Caenorhabditis elegans: one gene and its partner. The protein of the gene in region 1 purifies or fractionates together with the protein of each later gene. This does not show direct contact. Each region holds a gene or a part of one and is shown on either strand. Other genes may lie near its edges. The genes, in order: C06B3.6 and gly-5.

Region 1 (3,563 bases):
AAACGTTGTTTTTAATGTTTTCTAGTTATTTATTTTCAGCTCTCTGCTGGTATTCTTCCACAAATGGTGCCTCGAAAAGCTGGAATTATCGTCAATATTGGATCAGTTGCAGGATTAGCTACAATGGCTGAATGGTCGGTCTATTCTGCTACCAAGGTATTAATGCATGTGCATACTTTTCTTGATATACAAATATATTTTCAGAAATACGTTGAATGGATCACAGGATGTCTTCAAAAGGAATATGGACACCAAGGAATTATTTTCCAAGCTATCACCCCAGCAATGGTTGCAACAAAAATGGCTGGAAACCCGAATACGTCGTTCTTCACCCCTGACAGTGACACGTTTGCCAAGTCAGCTCTGAACACAATTGGGCATGCATCTCAAACAACTGGATACATTACTCATCAAATTGAATGCGAAATGCTGAAATTGCTTCCAGATTTTGTTATCGACAGATCCATTAAGCAAACAAGTGCTCAGCTCCGTGAGGCTCTGGCAAAGAATGAAAATAAGCCTTTGATGTAGATGTGGTTGAAACTTTATTAAATTTATTGTATTATTTACAATGAATTTTTTGATTTCCAAATTTATAAATAGAGTACATGAAATGTGAACTATGGCATTCCACATAGGGGCTATACTGTAACTGTTTTGTTATAACTATTAAACTAGTATATTTTTCATAAATACTTTATTAATAACCCGATATTTTTTCAGATCTATCATTCATTTGTAAAACATATAATTCATTCCACAGTCAGCCATCCTTTTGGCTTTCGTTGCTTTTTTGCTACAAAATGCTCGTCTAAATTGTAAAACCCTGTTGGTTTGGTAGTTTCGGTAGATTCGGCTTCCAAAGAAGCATTTTCCTTTTCGAGTTCTTCATGTTCTTCTTCGAGCTCTTTCATTTCGTATTGTAGTGCGGGCCAATCTTTAGAAGAATAGCCAAGGAATTCAGGATCTTAAATATCAAAATTTATATAGCCTGGATTTTTTAAATTATACTTACATCGAAGACCAATGTATCTGATACATTTATTGTCAAACACCTTTTTGTGATTCTTTGGAACTCGGACAATGTGGTAGCCAACAACTTTTTCCTCTTTTTTAGCATTGTCAATCTGACTAGAGTTGACGGGCTTCGAGTGGTTCACGCAGTCATGGGAATGGACGTTTCCGAGACTCCCTAAAACATAAAATTAATTATTATAAGGCCTAATTGTTCTGAAAACTTACACCAAGCAAAGTAGAGATCGGGAATTTCTCTATCAATAATCACTGATTTCGAGTCATCACCTTCAGATGATGAATCAAGGAATTCTTGATTAATCTCCCATCTTTTCTTTTTGTTAAGTGAATATACTACTAATGGCTCAAAATCTTTGGCCTCGGATGGAGCATCATTCTCAAAATGCTCAATTTTGACGATTGCTGAGTAGGTTGGAGCCTTTTTGATATAGAAATTCATAAGACGATTTCTGGCGTGGTCCTTAGCGTCTCTTTTCATTTTGAAAGTCTGAAAATCGGCACAAAATTTTTTGGAAAAGAGATGGAGAGAAAACTGGAGTTAGCATTAGGTGAAAGGTAAATTTGTAAGCAATAAAACATTTTCGAAAGTTGGAGCTGAGCGTAAATTTATTTCAAAAATTTTCAATGGAACATAAATAATTGTTCGTCTTCTTGGGTTTCAGCAGATTTATTTTTCCTGTTAAAACAATTTTGCAAATTCGGAATCAAATTTTTTATGGTAAAATTTCTGTCTACGAAAAATACACAGAAAAATGTTAAGTAAAAATCAACCATCGGAGTCCGACCTATTTTGAAAAAAGTGAGTTCAACAGTTAGATCGTTTTACCAAAAAAAAATGTAATTGAAATTGAAATTATAGTCAACAAAGTAGAAACAAAGTTGGGAAAATTTGTGGCTGGAAGAATTTTTTAAGAAAACATGAAAAATATAACATAAAAAAAGAGAATACAAACTGTTTGATAAAAACCTGATAAATTTAAATATTTTAAAAGTTTTGAAAAAAGTGACGTGATGGAAAAAGATCCAAAGTGAAAACGAATTGAAGCATGAGGTTATTTATACCAAATGTAACCGCATGACAGTTCAAAGAACCAGCAAGATAGCAAATGACTTGAAAACACACACCAATCAACTGACTCATGATCACCAATAAAACGTCACTATTCGCGGATGGGGAGGGAGGTTAGAGAACACAAACAAATGAGAATGGAAACCTTGAGGATTTCGCAATATTTTCCAATAAGTTAAAGAATTGCACATTACGCGAAAAAATGGATTTAAAAGGAGGCAAAAATATGAATATTTTATCAACCTATTCAAAGATTTTTGTATATTTTCCATGGAAGCTGATCAGGAATATTTCTGGTGAGTAAGCTTTTTATATTACTTCTCCGCATGTTTTTCTGTTTATTTACGAGAAAACGTAGTGTAGGCATAAAATGTGTAATCGTTGAACCCTTCAGGGAACAATACTTGAAAAATAGTCTGGTGTTTTCTGAAGTTTCACTTTTGATTATTGTGCTAGTGGATCAAAAATCTGGAGAAAAAAATAACAACAAAATTGAAATGAGTTTATGTTCGAGAACTTTGAAAAATGTTAAAAATTGGATCGTTAATTGTTTTTTTTAACTTTAAGGGCAAGTTTTTGAGCCTACCTGCCTACCTTTTTTAATGACCCACGATGCTAGGTTTAAACAGTGTAGATTTACCCATTTTTATGTTCACTTTTCTATCAATTTGTATGAAGTGTGCGGGAAAAGTTTAGACTCCCGTAGGTAGGTGTAAATTTGACAGTTTTTTCAAAGATAACGTGTGAACAATGACGTACTTGCTTATTTCTTTGACAAGAGCGACAAAATTGAATACACAGATTTGAGCCATTTTGCATGTGAAATTTTCTCTTCAATTACATCAACAAAAATGAAATAGATTTTATTTTTAAACAATTTCACCAAAAACCAAGCAACGTCAATTTTTACCAAAAAATCTTTCTGTAAATCAGTTAAAAAATTTACTTTACAATTCAGGAACTCTTTTTAAAGTATTTTATAGGTCTGATGAATGCAAAAACCCACGCCAATCACAAAGCTATGATAGCCACGCTGGTGTCGAACACCAGTTGGCTTCTTTAAAAGACAAGTCAATAATAGTGAAGACATATTATGTTTGGACTGGAGAAGATCAATTTACAAATAGATATTTGGAGAAATTTGACAGAAATGTTATGAGCAAAGACTTGAAACCATTTGTTATGTATTCAATGAACAAGAGAAGAAATTGGGAAATTGATAAATCAGATCGGGTAGAACTTATGGGACAAATACAGGAGTTGCATAAAGGGGAAGATGTTATGTTTTTGGAAAGAGTTTCAATGAGCACTTGGGAATGGCAAAGTGAGTAGCAAAAAATGGGAAAAATTCAGATAGTATCATATTGGATACTTATTTCCAGCTATCTTCCGATACGAGTTTTATTGGAATGAACTCAAAATATGTACAATGCATGAATTGGACACTTATGCTGATGTC
Region 2 (4,953 bases), on another chromosome or scaffold:
ATTCGAATTAAAATTGTGTATGCACCTTTAAGATTACTGTATAATGTTTTTTTTTCAAATTTTCTTATAATTTACAGATTTTTATAGCTAATTTGTGACCGAGTAGAACTTACTTACTTACTTAGTAACTATAAGAAAACAATAACAATTTTTCTAAGATCAATTTAAAGGCGCTCGCACAAAGTAATTTTGGAAAGGGTCTCACCGCGCCAAATGAATTTTTCAAATAATTTTTTTTCGCGTTCTCATTTTTCCTAGAAATTCCAGAATTTTTGTAGTAAAATTGCAAACATAAGCCCTTTTCGAAATATTTTTTTTCTTCATTAATCGAAAAAATAAGATGATTTGTAGTTTAGCCTAGCCTATAGACATTTTCGTTCCCCTCTCACTACAAGTAGGTGTCTCTGACATTCTCTTCTCCAACCTATTCGTCATGCTCAATTGAGCACGTCCGGGGCTCTTCTAACCAGCAAACAACTCCCCCCAGTTATGACCACGTTTCTCTTTTGTCTTCTGGGTTCACTATCAATAGAAGTTTCCATTTGAGAAGTATGCAAAGGGCGTGGGCGTCTGTTTGAGCAAAATGGGTGTGAATGGTAAGATGGATGATAAGGGGGAAATGATGTTTTTGACGTAAAAAATTTTATAATGTGGAGTATCGAAATCTTTTTAGAACAATTTTAAAATGACTCCCTGATTCCGATATTTAAGTGAAAAAAAAAACTGTGCTTTTTTTAAGGTCACTTTTTTTGTTATATCATTAAAAAAACTAACAAAATTTGTGATTTTTAGGCGGGAAAAGCATATATTTGGATTTTTCGTCCACGGGGTTCTGGGCATTTCTCATTGAATTTTCGCGCTCCATTGATAATCGCCTGCCGGACAGCGCGTGGAAAAGTGTCGTGTACTCCTCACGGACAGCAAACTTCAGTTTTACAACTAAAACGAGCCGCGACGCGACACGCAACGCGCCGTAAATCTACACAAAATCTCTCCGACCCAAAATGGCCTAGTTCGGCAAACAGCCAGAATTCCGTGGAATTCGTCGAGTTTTGACCTAAGAAATGGAAATTTTGTTAGTTTTTTGGCAAAATAATATTTAATTGACCTTAAAAAACGAAACTTTGGAAAAAAGCGACGAAAATGAAGATATTGAAAATCTCGTAAATCGACACATCGCGATTTTAAGCTGAAATATAATATCAGGGAAATTTTTTAGAATTTTTTCACTTAGATATTCGGAATCAGGGAGTCATTTAAAACTATTTCTCTCACAAAATTTCTAGGATACACGGAAAATCGAAATCGTGACTCATTGCGAACTTGAAACATTACAGTTCTCGAGCACATTTGAACTTGACCGAAACCACCGAAAAAAGTAAATATAGTGTGAGAGAGAGAGAGTAAGAGGTATTAGAGAAGCTAAAAAAGATAGTGGTTCTGTTCTATGCTCTCTTCTTATACACCCTCTTCCCTTCCCTTCCCAACTGTTCAAATATTATCGTTAACATGCCTTGCATGCTGCTGCTCATCGTCATTGTCCACGTCAACCTAAAATTTTTAATGTGAATTTGAATTCAGTATGCCTTGGGTCCGAAAAAGTTTGCATTATAAATTTCCTTGTTTTACTCGAATTTCCAATACTACTACTACTTTTCACAATTTAATTCGTTTTTTTTCAGGCAGCAAACTTATATTATCAAAATTGAGGGATATTGAAGCATAAAACGGAGGATTTTCGGTAGGTTACGGTACCCTGGGTCTCGGCACGACAAATGTTTGAAAAAAGGTGTGCGCCTTTAAAGAGTACTGTAATTTCAAACTTGTTCATTTGCGGAATTTTTATTGATTTTTTAGTTTTTCGATGAAAATCTATTAAATTATCAAATATCTAAAGTAAATTTCAAAAAGCTGAAAAATTAATTTTAAGGCGCACACCTTCAATGAGTACAAGGATTTGTCGTGTCGAGACCTGGATCTGTATTTCTGACGCAAAAATCTGAAAAGTGTCATATTAAACAATATTAAAGAAAAAAAAAGAAAAAAACTAACTAAAAAAATCTGTTTTAACATTGAAAACTTGATCATTTTGAGGTCAAACTAGAAAATATTGATTTTTCTTCGAATTTCTATTGATTTTTTTGTTGCTATTTATTAGTTTTCCTGAAAATTATAGTTTTTCCATCATATTCCTGCCAAAAACATGTTCCACCGATTTTGTCCACGTGTAGTACGTAGTTGTCGGTTTCTAGGTCACCACCCGTGTACTACACGTGGACGATGTGTCCTTATTTGGAGTTTTTGTCGAAAAATTTAGTTTTTACTGGTTTTTACTGAGCTGAATCGAAATATTTTGAGAAATTTCCCAATTAAATTAATCAAAAATTAATTTTTTTGCAGATACGGGTCGATTTTGCCGCTGAGAAATGATTATATTCAAGAAAAAGGCGATATTAAAAGTTCTCCTCTTGGTTCCAGTTTTTTGGATTTGCTCGTTGATTTTTTTCGCAGCAACCAGCAATGATAGTAGCCAGGTATCAAAAATCAAAAATAAAAAAAATAAAAATGTGATTAAAATCCCATTTTCAGATCGGATCAAATAACGATCTCGCGAATAAAATTGCGGAGGCGAATTTCCACCCGAAAGCCGCGAAACAAGACGTAATTCAAGGATTTGGGCCGCCGATTGAGCCGGAACCTGTCGTAGAGAATAATAAAGTGGAAGAAGAAGAGCAACCCGGCGGGAACTTGGCCAAACCAAAATTTATGGTCGATCCGAACGATCCGATTTATAAAAAAGGAGACGCAGCGCAAGCCGGAGAGCTTGGAAAGGCAGTTGTCGTCGATAAAACTGTGAGAATTTGATTATTCTTGAGGAATAACGGTTCTTTGAACTTGTGGACTCAAAATGTGCTCAAATTCTCAAAATTGCGAAAAAAATGAGCCAAAAATGACTTAAATTGGCCAAAAATTACCAAAAATGATTTTAAAAATGAAAATATTCCGTATAGATTTTTAATCATTTTAGGGCAATTTCGGTCATTTTTTACTGATTTTTGGCTGATTTTCCATCATTTTAAGTAATTTTAGTTAATTTTAGGCCAAATTTGGTTATTTTTGGTCATTTTTGGTCAATTTCTGTCATTTTTGGCCGATTTTTAATCATTTTTGGTCAAATTTGGTCATTTTTCAGAAATTTTTAGTCACTTCAGCGCTCGGAAATTGCCGAAAATTGGCCAATAATGACTAAAAATGACCGAAATTTGCCGAAAATGATTAAAATGTATATAATATACCGTATTTCTTCTATTAATATGGCCTCCCTATTAGACTTGCACTCCCTATTAGTATTGCTCCTTGAAAACCCTCCGAAAATTAGTATTGCAGTTAGTGTTGCACTCCCTAATAGTCTTGCATCTACTTTTTTTTTTTGGTACAAACCCACCCTACTAATTTTGAGATTTTAACAACATTTTTTGCCTACTTTGCAACAATTTTGGTAAAATTTCTATGAAATTGAAGTTATTGTACCTTTTTGTTGCAATTACAATCAAATTTTCTGAATTTTCACATAAGATTCGAGTTTTTTCAGGAAAAAAACTAGTAAGCTCAAAGTCAGAAAATGTTCTGAAAATTAGTATTGCACTCCCTAATAGTCTTGCACTCCCTATTAGTATTGCAAGCGGAAGACCATCGAAAAATATTATTGCAGCCATATTAATAGAAGAAATACGGTACATATTTTCGGTCATTTTTAATCATTTTTGGCCGATTTTCGATTATGCTTAGTCATTAAAAAAAAGACTAAAAAATTACCAAATTTGGTCCAAAATCACCAAAAATGACTGAAATTGGACAAAAATGAATAAAAATTTCTAAAATATTTAATATTTTAAATATTTATGTCATTTTTGGTCATTTTTCGCCTATTTTGGGCCAAATTTGGTCATTTTTCAGACATTTTTAATCACTTCAGTGCTCGGAAATTTTCGAAAATTGGCCAAAAATGATTAAAAATGATGTCTAAAATATTTTAAATATCAAGTTATTTTAAATATGAAATATTTTCGACATTCCTGGCCAATTTCGGTAATTTGTAGTCATTTTCAACCGACTGCTGATTATTTTTGGTCCGTTTAGGTATTTTTAGCAAAATTTAGAAATTTTAGTAATTTTTGGCCGAATTTTCATTTTTTTTTTTGGTCACATTAGGTAATTTTTAGGTGATTTTGGGTAATTTTTAGTCATTTTTATCCAATTCGCGATCATTTTTTAGCCACTCTAGGTCATTTTAGGCCGATTTCGGCCCCCAAAATCTAAGATTCTAGTGGAAATTAGTTCTTTTTTTTTCGAAATTTTGATGTTTTGCCTTTAAAATCAACGAAAAAAAAAAACTTTATTTTCTTTCTAATTTTCAGAAACTATCGACCGAAGAAAAGGCAAAATACGACAAGGGAATGCTCAACAACGCTTTTAATCAATACGCATCTGATATGATATCAGTACATCGAACTTTGCCAACTAATATTGATGCTGAGTGGGTTTTTTTTTATTCCAAAATTCATAAAAATCGAAAAATTAATTTTTTTAAATTTCCCTAAAAAACTGAAGTTTTTTTGTGATTTTCCGGAAAAAAAGAAGAAAAATCGAATTTTTTCAAAAAATTTTCTTTTTAAAAAAATCGAAAAATCGATTTTCTTGCAATTATCTGTAAAAAACGAGAAGTCGATTAAAAAAATCCTAAAAAAGAAAAAATCAATTTTTTTTTTGTTTTTCATTTAAAAAACTGAAGTTTTTTCTGATTTTCCGAAAAAAAAAAACGAAAAAAAAAATCGAATTTTTAAAAGAATTGCCTTAAAAAAAATGAAAAATCGAAATTTTTAAAATGTTCTAAAAGAACAAAAAATCTAAATTTTTCGATTTTCCGAAAAATCGAAAATATCGACGTTTTTT

Evidence for each region.
Region 2: the proteins of C06B3.6 (region 1) and gly-5 fractionate together in Caenorhabditis elegans (co-fractionation; one large-scale study listed by BioGRID). This does not show direct contact.

What each region holds. Positions count from the first base shown.
Region 1 is NC_003283.11:13,907,446-13,911,008, forward strand, and holds C06B3.6 (DUF3444 domain-containing protein), read right to left. Parts: upstream 1,523-3,563; 5' UTR 1,514-1,522; coding exon 1,243-1,513; intron 1,193-1,242; coding exon 1,016-1,192; intron 968-1,015; coding exon 753-967; 3' UTR 685-752; downstream 1-684. Other genes in the region: stdh-1 (Putative steroid dehydrogenase 1), read left to right, coding at 40-156, 205-531; C06B3.7 (uncharacterized protein), read left to right, coding at 2,375-2,400, 3,088-3,428, 3,487-3,563.
Region 2 is NC_003281.10:13,185,710-13,190,662, forward strand, and holds the start of gly-5 (Polypeptide N-acetylgalactosaminyltransferase 5), read left to right. Parts: upstream 1-1,682; 5' UTR 1,683-1,741; intron 1,742-2,400; 5' UTR 2,401-2,426; coding exon 2,427-2,534; intron 2,535-2,589; coding exon 2,590-2,853; intron 2,854-4,418; coding exon 4,419-4,537; intron 4,538-4,953. UniProt on the Caenorhabditis elegans protein: Catalyzes the initial reaction in O-linked oligosaccharide biosynthesis, the transfer of an N-acetyl-D-galactosamine residue to a serine or threonine residue on the protein receptor.